Linked DNA regions of Struthio camelus. The protein of the gene in region 1 binds, or shares a complex with, the protein of each later gene. Links are inferred from orthologs where the notes say so. Each region holds a gene or a part of one and is shown on either strand. Other genes may lie near its edges.

Region 1 (11,504 bases):
TCACGCAAACATGGAACCCTAGCTGTGACTACCTAACTTGTGGAACAGGCACTTTCTGATTTTCAAGAGTAGTGAGGGGTTACAGTGAAGCCACGTTTACAGAACACACTAGTTGAATTCAACACCATACTGAATCATGCCAGTTTGGCATCTTTTGGACTAATATTAAATGTCATCCTTAAAGGTCAGCATTTCTAGCAACTGTTCACAGTCTACAAATTGAAATTAATCAGACATATCAGTGTTATTACTTCCTACTGAGAAACACAGACCAACGCTTCACTTGATCAGGTACAAAGGCATAGGAAGAGGCAGACATTTCCCATAACAATTGCTCACTTTTACCTTAGTTAAGATAAATGCATAAACAATACACATTTTAAAAAAAAATCTTTGTTAATGGGCATTACAGAAGTACTGTCTTAGAGAAAAAAACGTATTTTTAATATATATTATTTTGCCAGTCTTGTTACAGTTCAAGTATCTAGAATTTAATCACTGAAAGAGCAATTGCATGCAGCTCAAGGGATATTGGAAAGGGTTAAAACTGGGTTATTGCTTTTATGTGCTTCCACAGGATAAACAAAATAGTCGTCTATACACAGAAGTTTAACTAAACATCTCATTACACAAATGATATCACTGCAAAGTGGAATTAACATTTTTAGTATTTATGTACTATGCTCTACATTTAATCATAATTTCGTAACTTGAAACATTCTCCCACAGGTAGTTAGAAAAGATCTTTTGTTCCATCTGCTTACACTTAATTTTTCCTACGCATGAAGTATAAATACTCTAGAAAGCTCTTATCTTCAAAAATTATCATACCTCAAACACACAAAAAAGGTTTATATATCATTGTTATTGGCAGGGAAAAAAAGGAAAAAGAAAAATAACTTAATTCACCATTGGCATTAGTGATAATTACTATGGTACTGACTTATATATTTTATGAATTTTACTATAAGAGACAAAGAGCATGTTAGTGACAGCTATTCATAAATATTAAAGAATATTTCTTATTGGATGCATCCCTAACATCATAGTAAAAAGGCTTTTTTTGCAGCACAGTCACCATGAATATCATTTTCTTACCTGAAGACCAACATTGTCTGCTTGTCCTCCTTTAACTAACTGGGAGATAAAGAGGCCGCAGCTAAATTCCACACCACCTCTCACACTAATTCCAAGTCCTTCAGGATGCAAACGATCCAGTCTCACCTCTTTCAGCTTTCTGCAAAGTTGGAAGACATCTGGCTGTTCAGCTGCATAATACTTTGTGGCAACAATGCTTCATACTAAAATTATGGATTACTTTTCTCTTACCTCATTCAGACTTGGAAAAAAGAGCAAGTTGACATTTGATGGATGTGTGTTTGCTAAAACCATTAAGTTTTTTTTTTTTTTTAAACAAGGAAAGACACCTGCAACTGTGGAAGCTGTGTATGCTTCTAGAGGGCTAGAGCTGTAAGAGAATTTTTTATTAAATGCAGGAAAAATGAAGGAAAAAAAAAAAAAAAGATTGCTTCAGCTTTGTTTTTGGACTCCCATACCCTGCTTCTACTAGATTAAACTACATGGCAAACAGTTTCAGGTAGCTCAAAACTGTACTTCTGGCAATTATAGCAAACATCAAAAAATTGTGCCCAGCTCTATAGAGCTAACAGGTATTTTGCTCAAGTAATTTTTCAAATAAGCTCTATGAGGCAATATTTCTTGCGTATATTTATCTGAACTTCGCTACCTTATCTGCATTCTCTTACCGTGATCTTTTGGGTGTAAGCTGATCATACTCCACCTGGTGTTTTAATGGGATAAGTGGGCGGATAGCATCAAACAGAGGCAATCTGCTTGGTTCATTAATCACGAGCTTTAGGTCCCCCACAAGCACTGGAAGATTCATAGATCTACAAAATTACAGTGAGAAAAAGGCTTAGCTAACCAACATACCAAAGTATTATTTAATTTAAGCTACGTGTGGAGCAAGTTATATCTGCGTATGCCTTCAACCTACTAAGAAAGTTATTTATGCAGCTCTTGTTTAAACCAAAGCAAAATAGTCTTTGAAAAACTAAACCCTCTGTAACGAGATAGGTAGGTAGGAACAGTAACCACATCCTTAAAAATAACTGAAGTCTCCTATACCTTACATCTGTTAACATGATGTACATCACATCTTTATAGAAGACATCTTCAGTTTCATTCTCAGAGTCCCCAACAGAAGACTTATGGGATTGTTTGGAAATAACTTTCCAGACCAGTTATATCTGCCTACTATACTTCTATTTCCTTACTAGTTCACAGTCCTTCCAAGGCTACAAATTCCTTCCTCTCCTGAATTCAGGGGACTAATCAATTGTTTCCACCCAGGAAGAAATCACATGATACCCAATAGAGAAAAGACCCGTTTTAAGATTTGTTTCAAACCAAAACAAACCAAAACTGAAGGGTCATTAACCAAGTTAACCACTAACAAAATCTACACAAGTGAAACTATTGTGGCCATTTGTTTTCGTGACAGCTATGCAAAGTAATCCTTGATACTGTCAGCACCGAGATACTCATAGCTCTAGAAAGTGGTCTTTGTTGCCCAGCTGCAAGCATGGAACAGCTCTATATAAGTGGAGCTATTCCTATGTAGCATCCAGTTAAACTTAGTCTACAGTATCTGCTGTTCCCTCTCTCACCAATTAGGTTTCCTGACATAAAATATTTTTGAGGTATATATACTGAAAATACAGATCAGGAATGGCTATTACATGAGACTAGAGGCCATATACTTTGATTTGCAAACACTATTCACAGTGAAGCAGATGTTAAATATTAATGCCAATAGCAATTGTGTATATTTTTGTCCTTGAAATGCTTTGTAATTAATTTGAAAAAGAAAGAAGCAGCAGCAGCAGCTTGATCAATAAATCCTCACAGCAATATTTGAAGTTTTACTCAAAAGCTGTTGCAGTTCTGGATATTGAGGAAAAGTTACTATATGCATTGTTAATTTTGTAACTGCAAGAAGATTTTAAATAATTAAGAGCTACCAACTCAACCTGCTTTCCAAACAACAGGCTTTATGAATGGAGAAACAATTGGACAGACCCGACTGAAACAGAATCAGATATGCAGCTGAATACACCCAAAATGATAGCTCAGTACAAACACTGCATGGAAACATCTACATCTCACTCAGCTGAGATGCTATTAGTTAAGATATGAATGGAAACAATGTCCGTCAGAGCCAGTTGCCTGTGATGAGTGGAAAATACATTCTCATATTCTTTGAGAAACAATGGATCAGATGCTGATCTCATTTGCAGTGATATAACTCCTAAGCAACCATGGTTTAAATCAGTTCAGTAAAAGGACTGGTAATTGGCCTATCACCTTACAGTTTTTCCTTTTCATTATGTCTTAATAAATCGAAGTTGTTAAACATGCTAGACAGACGCCCAGCCTAATTTTTTTCAGCTTTCAGATAAAACAGTTGAAAATAATTCTTAATCTGAATAGTTTACAAAAATCTTTAAAAAGCAGACTCAGCAAAAGCCTCCGACCAAAATAAATATGCATTCTTTGAAAATATTAATGAATGTTATCAATACTCTCTTCCGTTTCCTAAGTACGGCTTTATTACCTGCATTCTTGTTTCCCTCCCAATAAAGGTCCACAAAACCGACAAGCCATAAAAACAAAGAAACTGTAGTATTAGCTACAGTAAATACTCCTTTTTTGTCAGCAGGCTACTCTGCAAAAGTATAAGACTTCGTTACATAGAATTAGAAATTATTACTTTTATTTTCTAGATGGTATTCAGAAAGATTGCTTTCATAAAATATTGAATGTTCATCCTTCAATTTTAAAAATATTGGTGAAATTCAACACAAACATATATAAAGCTAGATCTTACTGGTGGTACATCCGCAGCACATCATAAAGGTAATCCTTCTCAGCTTCATTGTCAATTAGCAGATTAACCTGAAAATCCAAAGACTTTATTGTAATTTTCTTACTAAGTAGCTACAAATGTTGAACATACAAAGCTTTCACAAATTCCTAAGCCATAGTCCAAAGACTTCAAGAGGGGAAAGTTTTTATAAAAAAAAAAAATAATAAAGCAGCACATTTTTGCAAGACAGTATTTTTATCTCAAAATACGAAGCTTGCAATAAGACTTTTTAAAATTAATATTGCAGTAATTGAACAAGGCAGTAAATACTGAAATCACACATTCTATATGCTAGATTTCTTCTCAGCAGAGCAATGCTGTCACAATAATATCACATTTGCCTTACCTGATAATCAGTGTACTGTTGAATAAATGTTTTCAGAAACCTTTTTGGCCATTCATTAACATAGCACATGCTGTCACAGATAAAAACATCACACTGATATAATTATAACCTATGTTCCGTGGCTCCAAACCACCGATTTCCGTATTTCACTTAAACATTATGCAAACTTCTACACTGCTGTTCCTCTTCGCTCCAGCTCTGAAGTGATAGAACTGGCTAGTTATTCTTTCCTCCCTTAGTAATAGTACATTTACTTAAACTAGTATCACATTACAATGCCTGTTCTTGGATAATTACAGTAAAATAAAATTTAAAAAAAATACAGAAATCTGATATGAGGAGCTCAATTTATATTCAGTGACAACAGTAAGAACCCCACTGATCTTACTTGCAGTAAGAGTTCACATCACCACGATTTTCCTTTAGACAAGCTTAATGTTTAGGAAAACCATTTACATGTGACCTAAAGGCTAATATTACTGTGACGTGCAGTCTGAAGACTAATTTGCATACTTAAAGGAAGTTCCTTTCTTTCTAGATTTGCACCAGTTTGTAGTATAGTCTAAACTAAATAAATGCTTCATATTCTCTTCAACCCCTTCTGCTCTCTGAAGTCAGCCAGACTCCACTTATAAGTGATTTTCTCCTAATTATATCCTGTGGAAGAGAATACTTTCAAAACAATTAAAGGCTAGAAAAATTACACACAGGACAGGACTGCATGAATCCTACTCAAGATTGCTTTACTAGCAAGTAAACTAATTTATTCACAGTGAATTTCAAAACACCTTAAAAGGAAATAATACATTTGCATTCATAACTGACTGGTTCACCAATACCATACATAGTTTTATATTTATCACCTTGAGTTGCTTCTAAGTCCAATATTCATTTCTCTCTTTCCCATCAGTAAAAATACTCACAGCATGAATCAGCTTAGGGCCTGGTCTAAGGGACTCAACTTCTACTGCTAACTATGGTTCTGTACAAGCCTGCTTATATGATCTCGTGAAGAGTACCAAATACGTCAACCTGTTTCCCTCGCAGAGAAAAGGCCAAAACCCTCATCTTCTTTCTTTCTGACTGGGAAAGCAACCAGTAACAACGTACTTTTTCTCTCATGCACTAGCTGGTGGGCACGTCTCCCACCCTCCTTAGGCAGCAAAGGTCTGCATCTAAATTTCTTCTCACACTACATTCGGCCTTTCTTTTCTGTTTGATTACCACACTTCTCACTCTAAGCCAGCAACCTGCTCCTTCCTTGTGAAGTTTACCTGGATGTTGGTTGTCTCATCTATTCAGAACACGACTGCTGGGAAAGTCTTCCTGGACCTTCTCTCTAATCAGGTCATTCTTCTCCTGCTGCCTCCTATTTCACCAACTATCATTTTTATTGTAGCCACCTGCCATCTCTTACCATTCTTCTAAATAATTAACTCCTTGGGATAGCCTTATTGTAAGTATACAGTTTAGCTAGTCTCATCAGCAGCTTCTAAAAGCTGACTCTGCAGAAATCTCAAAAGTTCTTGCCCTCACAGGTTAAGCAATAAATCAGTGACAACATGGTGTAACCTGGACCAGTAAAATGTTTTAGTAGCTCTCTGGTTCTTGAGAAATGTAACTGTGGAGGCATGGGATAGATGATTTCATAGCCTGTAAACCCAGGAGAGTCCATTCTGCTCATTTTCATTATATTCAACTTTTATACCATTTCTGCTGATTTGTGCACCAAGCCCATGGCTTCTGGTTGAACTGCACCATCTCTTTTAGAAAGCTACCCAACTCTGAGCAGGAGGGCTTCATCTCATCTGTAGGTTAGACATATAGCTTAAAGCATATGACTGGGATTCCTTCATAGTCAATGGATAAAGGCAGGCACTTCCACTTGATACTTCATCCTAGACATCTGCAGAAGACACTTCATTACATCCTTTCTCCAATGACTACAGAGGAATCCTGAAGTGACAAACTTAGACTAGAATGAACTGAAGTTCTATGCAAAATTTGGACAGATTATTCCACCTCCAGTATGTAAATTATCTGATTATTTTACATAAGGGTCTGTTAAATATGAGTAACCTTATTTTTTCAGAAACATCTTCTCTGTGTCGGAGGGCTATAACACACCATTCTGTTTCATACCTACAAAGGTAATGTGCATGATGAGTGGATCCAGTACTCAGCGTTATATAAGTACACACACAGAGAGAGTAAACTCCTCTGCTAATGTACCAACTATGACACAGAGAGAGTAAACTCCTCTGCTAATGTACCAACTATGACAAAGACACATACCTATCTCTTCAACAAGGTTAACAAGATGGACTTCTCCTAACCTCTGACTTCAGCATAGTGAATTTTTGAAGCTTGTTTCTAACCTCTTGGTGTAATTCCTCGGATATTCTATCTGGACACAGTGTTGGAGTAGTGCCATCATTGCCATTACATTGGTATTGAAATAGCAAGCTTAAAAACAAAGAAGCATGCAACAGACATTTATCTAAATAAAAATAGCATCTGGAATTAAAACAGAGACTGCAAGTGATAGAAAACCTCTTGGTTATAAGCGCAGGCCATGACACAGCTCTCCATTATGGGCTTCTTTCACTAGCTGCAGAAGCATTTTGCTACCAGCTATTGTAAAACACGGAGCTGATTGCTGATCTAGTCAAATCTAATAGTTCATTTTAACATCGGTGTAATTGTTAAAGGCTTCAGGTTCAAATATGTTTTTAAGAAAACTGACATAGAGACAGATTCTGTAAGCAAGAATGAATATGCATAAATGGACACATCGATTTATTGTTTCCTCAGTGAGCTTCAACACATGCACCATTGAACTTGAAACACAAAACAGTAAATAGTGAACAGCATGACATCTGCCGCACTTTCTAAAACACAGCACAATTTACCAACTGAAAAATAAATCAGTTGTGTGGAGACTTGATAAAATGAACATGTGTCCTGATTGTTTAGCGTAAGACATTAGGTACTGTATTTGTAGTCTCTTATATGAAAGGTCAAAGCTCATGTGATTACACATCTTACAAAATCATATCTTGTAGCAGATACAGAAATGCTAGGATAAACAGCTGCAGATACCTCTATTAAGAAGCAATATGTTATTTAGGTAGACACTTAATGGATGTTCTTAATATAAAGGTATTTCATATTGATTATTTAAGGATACTATAGCAGTTGTGCAACTTTCACATAGTTCTTGTGTAACTCTCAATCCCAGAATACATATGAAAAGTTGCTTATGCTCTATTTCTTACTACATATATCACACAGTTTTGTCCATTTAAATTAATAAGAAATCATCACAAAAATTGCACCTACATACAAAAAGTCTGCAAGAGATCTATAGCAGGTTATTTAGTAGAATAAAAACTGTGAAAAAAAAACCCTGGAATTTTCCACACCAAAAGTGCTTATTACAGTGAGGCACTACTGTAGCAGTAGCCTAATCCATCAGCTTTCAAAAATTACTATAAAACTGTACTTGAACTACGAAGCCTTTGGAAACTATTTCAGAAAATGGAAGAACTGGCCAATATACTTGTGAATAATTAATCTCTAGGCTTGCTGCTTAGTTGATAGGGAGGACTGATTAAAATTATAGAGAAACAAAAACAAAATGGAAGTGGCAAATAATTGACCGGAAACTCAGGTCCTGTAGCTGTGCACTTTCATTGTTTTGACACAGCAAAAGCAAGTACACAAGATATTAAAATTCTACAGAGGCCACTAAAAGCATGCTGATACAAAACAATTTAAAGGAGAACACCTGCTTCAATATTGTCTTACTCAGATAAACCATTTTCATGTAGACATGCATCATATTTACTTTCACCAATGAATGGCGGTGATAAAGCTTCCTTGTGTTAGTAGGGTGGGACTAGGATGATTCATGAATTATAGCAGAGACGAAAAGGAATAAGGTTTAAGGTTCAAGATGGTAACCGTTTGCCCAGACTTTATAGACAAGTTGCATAACCCACTGCGGAGTTATACAATAATAGGTAGCAAGGCAGAAATAACTTGCTAGATACCAGTAGTCATAAGTACACAGTATCCAGGTCCTTAAAGTTTTTGGACTTCATTTCGTATATAGCTGGTTATTTGCAGCCCCTCTACTTCATTCTAACAATTCTTTAGTCAAGGGTTTTATTACCAGTTCACGTTTAACTACTATAGAACATAACATTACACTACTGTCTTTTCTGGAACTTACCTCAGAGAAATCCCATTCACTAGCAAAAAAAAAAAAAAAGGCACTAAAAACTTTAGTCTGAGACAGTTGTAAACTGCTACGGCAAAGCATCCCTTAAAGGTATATACCTTTTTTTCCATTCATTTCCTTAAAAAGTGCTCTTTGAGCTTACTTTGCTCACACGATCATGAGCTCTACAGAGCACTTACTTGACTAGGTAAGTGACAAAACGACGTGCCAGGCAGACCGAGCCGCTCCATGTACGAAGCGCATTTGCACATGACTGCACATGCACAAATGCACGTCGCTGGAAAGTTAAGGTGGCTCTGGACGCTCCTGAGCCCCGGCTGCTGCTGCGCAGAACCGCAAATGCGAACTCCCTGTTGCAACAGTGTTTCCTGACACGATTGTATTGAGGCGCGGGAAATAACTGTGTCAAGCCCTGAAAGAAAACTCAGGCACACAGGCCTGCTTTGGCCTCTCCTTCCCTCTTTAGAGGCTGGAACCGCCGCCGCCGCTCCCCGCTTACCTTGTGCCTGAACTCCCGCGCCACCCGCCGCTCCATGGCGCGCCGCCGCGCGGGGCCCGGGACGCGGAACGCGGAACGGCGCGCGGGACGCGGAGCGGCTGCGCCCGCAGAGGCCGCGCCCCGGCCCGGCGGAGGGAGGCGCGCCGCCCTCCTCTTCTTCCTCCTCCTCCTCCTCTTCCGCGGCGCCTGCTCGAGGCTCAGCCCCCGGCCTCGCTGCAGCAGCCGCCCGCCAGCCACCACCTCCCTTACACCGTGAAGCTTTTGCTTGTTTGAGCCCCCCAAAAGCGGGCTTCCTCTGCCCCGTATTACCTGCGCTTTGAGCTCTAGAGGTGTGCTCGCAACATGCTGCTTTACAGGTGGTGCTTCCTCATGGATATAGCCAAAACATCTCTCGTGTGTTTAAGTATGGCTATCTCTAGCCCTGCTATTTAAGAAATGCTCTAAGACGTGGGACCTACAGCATGGACACCTGGAGAGGGGAAAAAAGGAGTTGCTTCAGTGAATTGCTATACTGCAAATAATCTCAATGATTTTATGATTAGGTAAGCAGGAGTTTGGTTTATGATTGTTGGGTTTCCAAGCCTGATCTCACTTCCACCAGCTTTTCCCACTAAAGGAATACTGTTACTTGTGTATGTAGCTCCTGACTTGCCGACTGCAACTCTGTACCTGGATCAGAATCAAGCTCAGAATGCCCAGAAAGAAGCTTGTTTCAGACTAATCTCATTTAGATAATTTTGTCTTGGGCTGGTTCTCTTCCCACTTTCCCTAATCTAGTACAGAATAACAAAGATTTCTACAATTAAGGTTGAAAGAGAGAGTGCAGGAGCCTAGCTAGCCTATGCCCCTAACGCTGTGGCAGAATCAGCTTTGCCTGTGTAACTCTGGCAAGAACTAACCTAACTGGTTTACATAAGCACAGGTAGCTTACTTAGCCTCCTTCCAGCAGGGTGGAAATGTCTATGAAGACATATAAAAGAATGATGGAAAAAATGCCCTACTGCCAAATACAAACTGGAACCCATCATACTATTTCTGTGTGAAAAGACAGAAAGAGGTTCAGCTTCCAGCTAGGTTCCTAGCTTCAGTTAGGTTCAGCTAACCTAAGCTGAACTGTCTCCCTTAGAAATTGCTCTTACCCCTTTCAGAAGATGGCTTTGCTGTATAGGAGCACTTCACCGTTACAAGCCCTGCCATTCTCCTCTGTCAGGTGTCAAGAATAAAAAAGAGAGGAATGCATTTTAAACATATGTACAAACAAGGACAAAAACTGTTTTCAGAAATCAAAATTTTCTCTTTGCAGAAATGCAACTCATACACAAATATTTTGTCTTCTACCTAAGGTAACTTGTAGAAGCACATATTGAAAAGTGATTCTATCCAAGCATCAGATACACAGCCATATAATGCCTTCCCTGCATATGCAAAACAAAATTGTCTTATATTTGACAGCAGAAGAAAGGAGATGCATGAAATTTAAAGGAGATAGACGAAATACCATATATGTTTCTTTTAAACGTACACATAGACTGTAATATTAATTGATATATAACACTTCTTGAACTCCTAACAGAAAGAAATCTTTTATCAGCTCAAAGAGTCATGTACATTTGAAAGAAAGTGACCTTTTTATCATACAGACCATAAATATTCCTGGAGTCAGAAACTCTTCCTCCTGTCGTAAAATAGTGTGGAATTAACTTTATTTGGTGATTTGAAAACTGCTCTGAGTCACCAGATGAAGGGTATACCAAAGAAAGAATAATGAACTTGATGGGTTATTAGTCTGCTCTGTTACAAGAGTTCCTGTGCTCCTCTGTGCCTAAGTACAAAGCAAACAAACTTACAAAGCTATTGCATGCTCCAAAACAGCAAGCTTAATAATCAGTAAATTTGCGAGAAGGTTCTGAAGTTTCCATTACTTCAAATATGTCACATTAAAAGATGGTACAATTATGACTGCTTATTAGTTTTAGGTAATGAAATCCTTCTTAGTGAGAAAGCATAGTGCATCTAAATGAGCTTTAAACAAGTGCCAGATATTGTTTGCTACTTGTGGCTTTAAGGGAAAATGGATAAAATAGGCAGCCCATTTACTAGGCAAAGAAATACGTTTAAATGCGTGTTGTGTAAACTGATACCTGTCACTTTTGATCTACTTTCTCTACTTCCATTGATGCAATCTGGATCAGAGAAAGAGCACCAAAGCCAAGTGCGTGGTGCATTCAGAGTAGATGGGCTCTGCTATGGGCTGAGGGTAGTATACGTTTCTAAAAAACTGTTTAGTATTATTTGGAAAAGGCTGTGCTGAAGTCAAAGAATCTCTTTTCTGTCTCCCCTTTGCTTCTTTCATACACAAACTCCCCCAGCATTTACAGGAGGGAACGGAATTCTCAGTGAAAACATCACTAGTTCTCCATCATTTCATTAGAAATGAAACACTTGTTGCAGCAAGAAACACAAT
Region 2 (10,893 bases), on another chromosome or scaffold:
TCCCCGTAAGACAGTTCTGGGAGAGAGAGTTTTAAATCTAGAGGTTTTTTGTTTTTTACCTTTAATTTTTTTCTTTTAGCAGAATACACTTGCATTTCTGTCTTGTGCACTGCAGTCATCTATCCAGAGAGAAGCATTTTGGCCTCACTGTACATGCTAAAAGAACTGGTAACCTCTTTGCCTTTTGCTTTAGCAGATGTCTGAGGAGAACTGCATGTTATTGTGAAAGAGCAAAGGATAATGAATCAGTGTGCAGGGTCCAGAAACAAATATGCTTGTTTATAAGCGAGTATCTGTAGTTTTTCCAGGGTTCTTGAGTGCCTGTTTTCTTCTATCCATGGCATTCAGGACTTTCTTTCGTGGTCCCAGCTCCATTTGAATGCTCTGTAGATCTTCATCAGAGCATAGCATGAGGGCATCTAAATCGATTTTTTCCCTCATGAAGACTGGAAGAAACTCATCCAGCATCTGTGATGCCAGAAATACCTCCAGGGGCGTGTTCTCCCCTTCCTCGTCGTCCCAGACGAGTTCCTCCTCGTTCCAAGGAACATTAGCATTATTTTCAGCATCATCTTCCCTGCCGTTCTCGGCATTTTCATGCTGAAAGAGCTCACTGGACATTTTAAAGCTGATGCTTTCTTTCCCAGAAGGTATAGCTTCTGGATTTATATCTGCAGCCAAATTTCTTCCAAATACAATCTTGCCAAGACCTGGCCGCTTGAAAATAGAGAGTTGACTGTCATTGTCAGAAAAGTTTATCTCTCTGAGGTCATTCAGTAACTCATCCTCATCTTTTTCATCAAATAAATGCATCACAGTTGTTCTTCTATCCTTGCTATCCTCTTGGCCGTTGCTTTGTGTTTCCTGATTTCCTGCATTACCAGCTGTCTTTTTTGCCTTCAATTTGAAGGTATCTTTCAGATTTTTGGAGAAAGAAGTTGTTGTATTTGAAGTAAAGAGACTAGACACCTTTCCTCTGGAGTGTGTCCCTCTGGAAGAATTTACTGAGCCAAGCTTTTCTTTCATATAATTCTGATTCATTTCATGCTGGTGTTTGTCCTGGCGCTTTTCACATTCCCTGATTTGTTTCTCTGCATTCCTCTGGGCCTGAGCTTTGAGTTTTGAGACTTTCTTTGGATTCAGCATGTTCTGTTCAGTGGCGGCTTTGTCCAGGATGCTGACACACTCATTTCTATCTCTGCTGGCAGCTGCCTCCAGAGGAGTACGGAGATCATTGTCCAGAGCAAAAATATTGGCACCAAACTTGATCAAAAAAGAAACACAATGGACGTGACCATTGCAAGCAGCGTGGTGGAGAGGAGTGTTCCCCCAGATGTCACATTTGTCAGGATCACCTCTGAGAAGGCAAATAGCATATGGTGAGCTGGACATATCCAACATAACACTGCACTGGGATCAAACGAGTACTAAAAGGTTAACTCAGCTTTGCTGTGAGAAGTACAGCCCCAGTGAAAATGACCCGACTTAGCTCCATTCTCTAGGCTGGTGCTGCACCTACCTACCCCGGGATGGAGTTTGGCTGCATGTATGGCATCAGTGCTCAGTCCTGGCCCTCTCTGAATTAAGCAAGCCCTTTGGGGCCACGTGTGACTGCGTATCCCCACGATGGGGTTGGGGTACTTGCTCTGTGTCAGCCCCGAGACTGCTGGGGTGCTGCAGGTACGGCTTTGCTGGTTCCCTGTTGGTCCCCCCTGCCTCCTGCGATAGACCAGTAGCCAGCAACCACCCTGTGTGTGGGCAAGGACAAGCGCTTGCAGCTCTGATCGCTCTACCACTAAATTTGCTGAAAGCAGCCTCAGACTTTGACTTACACTCACTAGAGTTAATGGTAAAATTGTTTCAGTGGCTTTTGGCCAGAGTATTTTAAAAGCTATTGGCAAATTGTTCTTTTTGCATGTCACATGCAGGGACAATGGTAGGAGGCTTCTTCATTGATCACAGTGATATATATCTAATGTGCGCACATCAGTAACCTTTTTGATAGGTAATAGGTAGATGATTATGAGTCAAGCCCTGACAACCCATCTGTCTCCATTGCTGTTAGACCCCTGCCCCGGTCAGCTCTTTTGTTCTCCTTAAAACGCTTTTGCTCATGGGGCTTGGAAAGCAGAAGCTCATTTGAAAATAAAATGCCAAATTTTTTCAATTGAATTTCAAGCCAGTGAAAAGCGTTGCTTTCTCTTTAACTCTTGCATTCATTTCACGCTGAACTGCTGCCTGCAGATTAGAATTGGTTTGAGTCTTTTCACTCATACTTGGTAGGATCAATATTAGCAATGGTTCAGAACAGCACGTGAATCTTCTGTGCCCGATAACCAAGGCACTCACCATATTCCAAAATCCTTAATAACTTCAGGGGTCAAATTTACAAAGAGAATTTCCTCTCTTGGGAGTTTTAAACATTTAAGTGTCTTGGGGGATTTATTCCACGGCCCTTGTGTTATGGATGAAATGGTGTGTCCTGTCACAGAATTTCCTTCAGGTGTTGATCTCTGGCTTTGCATATCACTGGGAGAAAAGCACTAACATATCTGAGGAGCGCTAAATCTGAGAACATCCTTCAGACTACAATGCCACAGGCGGGAGATGAGGGAGACTGCGGTCCCTGTGGACCCAGACACAGAGCTGCTCACACAGAGAAACAACAGCAAATCTGAGCGCAGGCATTGCTGCAAGGAGGTGACAGCTCAGGATCAGTTTTTGACTTAGACATATGGAAAATGTGTACCTATTTCTGCTTTCTGGCTCTGCCCGAGGGAACTGCCTGCCTGTGGTAGAGCATGCCCTAGAAGCCAGATTCCTTAATCCCCAATTTAGCAATCGGGCTACGTTGTCCTGCGTCTGGCTCAGGAGTGCCTAGAAGTGCTGGGTCATCCGTCCCCCCAGGTCTCTTCATAGCCGTTTGCTGTTTCTTTTCCTTCCAGCCTTTGGCTCTCAACTAATTCACAAGCTAGAGAGGTGATTCCCTACTCAGGGCGGCTTTGGATAAAGTCTGACATCTACTTTGGGTTCTCATACTCCTCTTTTCTCTCCTTTCCCAAGTGTGAGGAAGGAGGCAAAAGTGCTCACAAAAGTGAGCAGATCTGCTACTTGCTGTCTGCTGCTTGCTCTTGCCTCTGGTCGTGTATCTGCACAGCAGGCAGAGAGAAGATCTCTTACTGCCTGGGAAGACAAACTGTTTAAAGATGAAAGGGAGTTGTTGTTAATATTGCCACATTTTCTAGAGGCCGACTGTGTTGCAGGCTTCAGAGTCCTAAAATCTGCAACAACTCTAAAGAAAACCATCCTGTGTCTGAGTGCCTTTGTCAGGAAACCCCTGAAACCACCTCTACTTCAAGGAAAGGAAGAATTTGTTAAAAATAATCAAAATATTTTCTCACAAGAAAACATTGCTGGCCTGTAGAACAGGGAAAATCTTCCACAGTTCAGCTCTCTCCAGTGGCCAAGGAGGGATGAGTAAGACTACAGCGCTGTCTCTGACTGCCTCAGTCTATGGACTGTGTCAAGGAATCTTGGATTAAAATAGCGGTGAATGCATATGTTTGAAGATTTTGAGGGCAACACTATCCCAAAATTGTCCTATACCAAGAAAAATAGAGTCAGAAATATACTGAGTAACAAATACGTAGGAATTTTGATCTTTGTGTCATCTGCTGTGACTTCTATCAACATATATGGTAGATTATATATTTTTCCCTCAGATTCTGAAGATTATCTTGTTATTGTTTCCTTAGCTAGATGTTCTGTCTGTGTTCACAGACAAACCTGTATTGATTCTAGGTATTTCCGTGGAGCTGTATTAATTATACAAGTTGAAAATCTGTCAGTCTATTTTTGCTGCTTTTGGGGACACAGCAATAACCATACAGTCCAAAGGTCTTTTTTGTTGTGCTATTACAACCACACCTGAGCTCAGTGAGCTATAAAGCAAATCTATGACATGCCTATTCATAGTCTGTATTTTCAGTTCTATTTTTAAGAAAAGAAAACCGAAATACATCCAAATAGCTGTTCAACTTTTTCCTCTAATCTTCTTTCAGCTATTACAAGTGAAAATACAGGTCAATTTAATCTTCATCTCAGCCCAGAAAAAAACATTTTCTTTACTGTATCTCTGCACATGAAAAGCTTCTCTTTTATTAGATCTTTTTGCAGAACCACAGCATAAAAGATAGGCTTCAAGCAGAGAGAGTACAGAGGATGATACGGGGAGCTAGTGACCTTTTCAGTAATATATTTTAAGCATGTAGTATGTGTAAATGATTCCAATCAGAAATATTACTACTAGCAGGTACACCTGTATAAAACCTTCCTTTATTTTTTTCTTTTTTTTTAGTTTGCAAAGATCCTACCTGAGCCCCTGAAACAGTATCATGAACTTTTTAGCATGGTAGTAGTTGGTAATGATATAAAGAGCAGAGAAATAACAATTTTAGGTATTACCATCTCAAAACTATCAGTTGCGACGCCTCAGAAAAGCATTAGACCTTCACAGGCATTGACTGCACTTTGGAAGCAAACGACAGAGCTCTTTTGCTCAAAATGTTTCAAGACATTTCTTTATAGAGCTAGTTTCAAAGTATGTTATTCTCAAAGATGTAAGTTAACCTCTACAGAAGACAAACAGTAGTTTTTCTTTGACCTCCATTAAGGCCGGATTAGGTCCCAGACCCTGTTGCTACCGACTGCTGCCTGCAGACTCCATGTCCGTGACAGGGTCCCAGGGCTGTTGATGTGGCTTCGCTGACCTGCCGCTACAGGGCTGTTTGCAGGTTCATGGCCTAAACCAAGGTGAACGAAGAGACACAACCGTAGGAAGAAATTACCAGGATATTCAGCCTTTTGGGTCTGACACATTGGCAGCACTAGAAATGCTACACGCTGTTTATAGCTTTGTGCCACAAGCTCTAAGAAACTGAGCCCGATTCACTTACCCCCTCCGACATACAACTTCCAGAGCTTCCAGATACCCATGGTACGCTGCCAGGAGGGTGGGCGTCATCCCATCCTCATCCAAAGTATTGAGATCTTTTCTAGTGGCTTCTTTCAGGAGCTCCAAATTGCCATCAGCTGCTGCTTTGTGATACCTGGTGGACATTTTCAGTAATTTCTGGTTTCCCAGAGCAGGCCTGAACGACAGCCAGACAGGACAGCCACCCTTCCATTACAGGGATAGTTAATCAATAATTACAAGTTGAGACGTCATCCTCAGGATGGAAATGAGGGAGGCAAAGTTCATCCTAGCAGGAAAGTCGTCTGGAACTGTGCCTAAGAAACAAGGCAGCGGTATGTTTAATGCTTTCATTTTCTGAGAGGTGACTCTGCATTCCCCATTTACTGCAGTATTTGACTATTTCAACATAGAGGGGACTCATTCATCTTCTCTGTGTCTTAGCTGCTTTTGCCTAACTGTTCTGGGACAACTGACTTGAAAAGGAGATTTGCCGTTGATGTCAACAAGACCAAATTTCACCCTCAGTAATAAAGTATCCTTGATTTTTGATAGGATGAAATACTCTGTAAGCAGTTATTTTTACCAGTGAAGTCCTTTGTAACCTATCATTTATTGGGTTACTACATCTAAAAACAAGTCTCTCCCCTGCAAAACTGCCCACATCCCTGGAGCTGTTCTGCGTAGGCAGATCAACGTGTGGGTTGGGAACAGCCCTGGCAGGGCTGCGGTGGCGCTCAGCCAAAACTGGCCAGCGGGTCCACCAGTCCCAGCAGGCAAAACCACCGTCTAATGTGTGGTCCTTTTACCTCAAATTCCCTTTCATCAGAAAATCTTAAAGCACTTGACAAATACTAATTCATCTTACAGGTACTGTTATCTCCATTTTAGCTGCAGGTGAAAAAATTTGAATGATTTTCGCAAAGTGGCACAGGGAATTCAAGAAGGAGAAACCCAATGGGCCTGCGCCCACTGCCCTGATCTCCACTGTGCTCCTCACCTGGGAACAGGCCCCATTTTCACATATGTACCACTTTCTTTAGAAATGTTTCCCATTGATTTCACTGGAATTGCTTGAGTGATTATCAGCTACCTCTCTAAGTAAAGGCTTATAGAATTGGACCATAATTCTAATTCTGAGATTCAAAAGAATAACTAAGTGAAAAATAACTAAAATGGTAGTTTTAGAACAGTAGTTGAGGGAGAAATCAGTAAGAGACTATAGATAGCTTAATAAAATGCTGGAGGCTGTTATTCTGGTCACATTCATGACAGCTGCCAGATAAATGTTACTTTTTGTCAAGCTGTTTTCTACGACTAACTGAATTAACCTGTATCTTAGAGAACGTACTCTCGGCAATTAGCAGTGAGGTTTTGTTGCTTATTACGTCCCCTGCTACAGAGGCAAAACGAGCAATCGCAAACGAAGTCATTGTCTTGAATTGGTGCAATTACTGAGTGGAGTGCAACCTCATTTATTTCCCATAATGCCCTCTACCTAATTCGTGGGAGACCTCTCCAAATGGGCTTTCTCGCTTAATTATTTTCTCAGGCAGGGATTGAAGAGCTCTTCAGGAACAAGCTTTTACCTACATTTTCCTCCGTGAAGACAAGGAGAGTCAGTCAGGTCCTGTAACTGATTTTAATCTTTGAATAAACACGTCTACATAGGAGTAACCTAAAGTCCTGGTTTTCCTTCACGTCGTCCACAGCGGCGGCCGTCCCCAGGTGCTATCCTGCAGTGTCAGGCAAGTGGGGAAGGACCGTGCTTCACCCAGGCCAGCCTCCAGTCTGGCATTAGAAGACAGTTTTGCCTTCAGCCCTTTTTCCAGTTCCCCGCGTTGCCATCAACGCTTTTCTAACCAAAAACGCAAAGCTATTTATTCCATTTTCTGTTTAACCAGGCTCAGCACTGGGTTAAATTTACAACTACTAGAAAAAACATTGCAGGATGAAGACAGTGATACGTACACTTTGTTATGAATATATTAGATTGGCTGTTCCTTGTTGCCATTGAATTTTATTTGCTGTACTGGGTATTGTAAGCTCTTAGTCTCTCACGAGTGGGTCACGAAGGCAGGTATTGCACATGCCACCAGTGCCTGGTATGAGAGAGAAGACAAGGTTTTTTCCCGTACGGTTAAATTTCACACTCTTAGCAACACTAGCAACACCCATGAACGCGAGCTCGTGGCAAAGGAGAGTTTTGTATTCTGTTTTTCAAGACTGCTGTTTTCTACTATAGAAATACCTTCATTAGCTTTTGTGGCAATCAATTTAGCATGCAAAATGGTGATCTCAAAGTGATCTTTATCATGTCATAGGTGCAAATGTTTATTTTAAAAGACAGTTACTTCATCTGACATTAAGTGGAAAACTTTTGTTGCAAGTTCTAACTAGATGTAAAGCAAAACCCATTTCAAGTGGAGAGGTGCTCCAGGACTTTGCAAACTCTCTTGTTATTTATATCACAAAAAGGACATCACAAAAGAGAAAGAAAAGATCAAACAAAATCTCCATCTATTTCTAAAATCCTGGTATTTGTGAATCCTTGCCCCGCCTAAAAACCTCAATTTAAATGCAATAAATGTTTCAACAGCAAATGATGTTAAATTTCTCAGCGTGAGAGAGTTAAATTTCTCAGCCTGAGTGGAGATTTTTCTTCTGAGACTAAGGCTCAAAATTGTGAACTTTTAAAACTCCCTGAGTAGTTAGAATGAAGCTTTTCTTCTGGGGTTTGAAAAGAACTTCCAAACCATTTCACTTCCAATTGAAATGTCTTACCAGGCTCAGGAGAAAGCCTATTGTGATGGTACGTGTTGTTGTAAACTAATGAATTATTTAACTAGCAGTTTTGATTTTTATTATTGGATTTTGTTACGTCTATGATTATTTCTCCAATTTTTTAAGAACTATCTTAAATATGACATTAGCAGTTAAGCAAACTATTTAGGGTTTATTCAGACTTATTTGAAGACTACCATTAGTTATATTGTTCCGGATAACGAACCATTAGTTATGTTGTTCCAGATAATTCAGAGCCCAGTCTTGCTTCATGCCTTGGGAGAAAAACAGAGATGTTGTTGTGCCATCTGTTTTGCATGAGGTCTTATCTAGCACAGCATTTCCTCATCGCAACTTTTATAAGTGGCAAATGTGGTATGGTAAAAGCCGTACAGGGGGAGGTCTCCTCCGCTCCTCTAATGAGATCCCACTGGAACTAATGGGCCTTAGAGGAGAGCGGAGCTGGTCACACGGGGTGATCGCGGTTACACAATTCAGAGATGACGACGACAGTTAAACAACAATAAAAGCTTATTTCTTCACTCCTGATACAGGCACAACGCCTACCCCGGCGCCCCAGGATCCTGTCGCTATATGTAGTCTGGAGCGACCCTGTCTCCGCGGAGAGGCTGGGCGAGACGGGCCGGCGCCGACCGTGACCCCGTCCCGCGGTGAGCTCGGCTCGGGCACAGCCAGGCTCCAGTCCGGCGGTGCCGGGGCAGCCCCACGCTCTGCCCGCCCGGGTCGTGTCGGGAGCAAGGCCATCATCCATCGGGAAAGGTTATCCCCCAACTGGGAAGGCAATAACAGTGGCGGTACCAAAGGCGCGTCCCTCCTCAGGCGCGCCTCCGCCTCACCTCGCGCCCCTCCTCGCCGCCCTGCCTGCTGGGAACGGGCGAGCAGCCCGGGGGGCGTTCGTGGCCCTGCAAGCAGTGATGCTGCTTGTCGCGGCCTCGCGGCCCTTGGAATAGGTGTCCTAGCTGGGAGCGCTCAGCGGCAGCAGGTGTGGCCTGGCGTCGAGGCTTTTTGCGCTGCTGACGCCTCCTTCTTGCCTCTTTTTCCTTAATAACTTCCTTAATAACTTCAGCAGTGCTACAAATAGTCTCATGGAGAAGGAAAGTGAGCCCTGCTCTCGCTGCTGTCTGAAATGTTGTCCTACCACCAGTGTGTCAGAAGAGGACATCCAAGAGGACGTGAGCCATGCTCTCCAGGGTCAGTATGCGATGCCCTCGCTTCTGGGGTGTTCAGCGCTGGTCTTGGGTAATGCCTTTTTTCCCAAAAGTCAGAAAGTCAAAGAAGTAGAAGAGAAAAGCAGAGAAACAGGAGAGGAGACCTGCCAAGCTTTTGCAGCAAAAAAAAATGAGAGCCACGGAGCTGTTTTTGCTCTTCAGAGCATGAATTAACTGTTTAGCTATGTAACGCAGACCAAAATTATTCCTACAGGTTCAACAATTCTGACGGGTGGAACTGAATTTTTTGAGAAGAGGGACGGCTGTGCTTCCTCTGTAGCTCAAGTCGCACACTCTGAATTCAGACATGTTAAATGAAGCAACAGCCAATTATCTTAGCGCGCTTTGATGAACCGCATCCTCCAAACTTACGTACTGCCCGATTGCTATTAAGAGCTGCTAACGTGTGCTGCAGGGAAAATCCAGTTGTGGTGACCGCGGCAGTGGCATCGCTCTGCCTGTCAAACGCTGTCTGGTCCGACACCATCTTTCGCCTAACACAAGCCACAACCTGCTGCGAGGCATCTGAGGGTGGGCAAAACCCTTAGTGAACTCTAGCCGGCAGGGACGGTCTCTCCTCCTGCTTAGAGACCATGCGCTGCCTCTGCTCAGGCCTCCGCAGCCTTCCGCCAAGCTGGCAGCATCACTCAGACTTGAGGCGAGACTGAGCTTTCGCCAGCCGGCCTCACCCGCCGGCACCGGCCCAGGGTCAGCCAGGCTCTGGGAGCACCATCCACAGCTCCCCAGGTCTGAGAGTCTTTCCACCAACTTAATGAAGCTGTGAATCAGGGCAGGGAAACTGGGTAAGTTTTAACTTTGCGTCGGATTTGGTCCTGCCTGAAGGTACTTCGTTTGCACGGTTCTCTCGAGGGCGGGCACCTGAAGCCCTTTTTTCTCCCTGACTGTATTAATTAAACCCAACCTAATAAAAATAGATATGTTAAACTAGCGTATGGCTTCAGAGTTTGTTTCATTAGTTTTCCGTATTATCATTGCTTTTGAAAACAATTAATCTGATTGTAAAAAAAAAAAAAAAAGAAGAAAAGTGAAGGGTCTTGGTGTATGTTTTGTGACTTCCAGTTCAGGAGTCTCTGGAAAATTATTTTTTCACCAAAGCGTAGCCACATACTAGTCCTACTGATGGCAAAAGCCATCAGGTTCTGTCTCTCCTCATACTGCTAACATGAGGTGCCATTTACTCTGGAGTAGTTATGGATCCCAACTGGTGCCTGCCTGTTGGTGTAGCGCACGCTTGACACCCCCACTTGCATGACAGCTTTAACTCTGTATTTGCCATTTTCCCACAGGGATGAATGTTAAAGAGATGCTTCTAAATAATGTAAATTTAAAAAATACTTACACTAATCATGTGTTCTGCCTGCAGGAAAATTATAATATTTTGCTACAGAGCATGCTGATGACAATGACACACACTGCCAGGCATGCTCTTGTCCCATCCAAGCTCCCAGCACTTTGGCACCCCATAGACCAGCTCTTTCTCAAAATTGCCAGTCTCTAAGAGAAACGAGGCTATTGTCACTCAGGCTGGGAGCTCCTAAAATCTACTCTATGCATAGGTCTCTAACTGCAAAAAGAAAGACAGATGAATACATGTGAGCAAAATCTGTTATTCCCTGAAGCCCAATTTAACATCCCGTTCCTAAATTACCATCTGTACGATTTATTTTCTTCTGTTCCTAAGATCTGTCTTTTCACTTTCTCACACCTCAAGAATTCAATTACTTTAAAAAATATGTATCTTTGGGTTTTTTTACAAGTATGGCTAAATGCAAAGATATCAGGGAAGCTGAAAAATAACATAAATATGAGTTTCTGTTTTGCTAGGCCCCTTCCCCGCAGCTCTGGGTGCTGGCGTTCTAGCCAACACCTCCAGAGAGCTTCCAGTCT

Evidence for each region.
Region 2: USH1C (region 1) and ANKS4B share a complex: the UniProt entries of both Homo sapiens proteins name them as parts of the IMAC/intermicrovillar adhesion complex. The link is inferred for Struthio camelus from reciprocal best matches to the Homo sapiens genes USH1C and ANKS4B.

Annotation. Positions count from the first base shown.
Region 1 is NC_090946.1:20,459,113-20,470,616, reverse strand, and holds the start of USH1C (harmonin), read right to left. Parts: upstream 4,380-11,504; 5' UTR 4,365-4,379; coding exon 4,296-4,364; intron 3,979-4,295; coding exon 3,911-3,978; intron 1,911-3,910; coding exon 1,767-1,910; intron 1,238-1,766; coding exon 1,099-1,237; intron 1-1,098. UniProt on the Homo sapiens protein: Anchoring/scaffolding protein that is a part of the functional network formed by USH1C, USH1G, CDH23 and MYO7A that mediates mechanotransduction in cochlear hair cells. Required for normal development and maintenance of cochlear hair cell bundles.
Region 2 is NC_090956.1:9,585,910-9,596,802, forward strand, and holds the start of ANKS4B (ankyrin repeat and SAM domain-containing protein 4B), read right to left. Parts: upstream 5,213-10,893; 5' UTR 5,120-5,212; coding exon 4,956-5,119; intron 1,358-4,955; coding exon 280-1,357; 3' UTR 1-279. UniProt on the Homo sapiens protein: As part of the intermicrovillar adhesion complex/IMAC plays a role in epithelial brush border differentiation, controlling microvilli organization and length. Plays a role in assembly of the complex.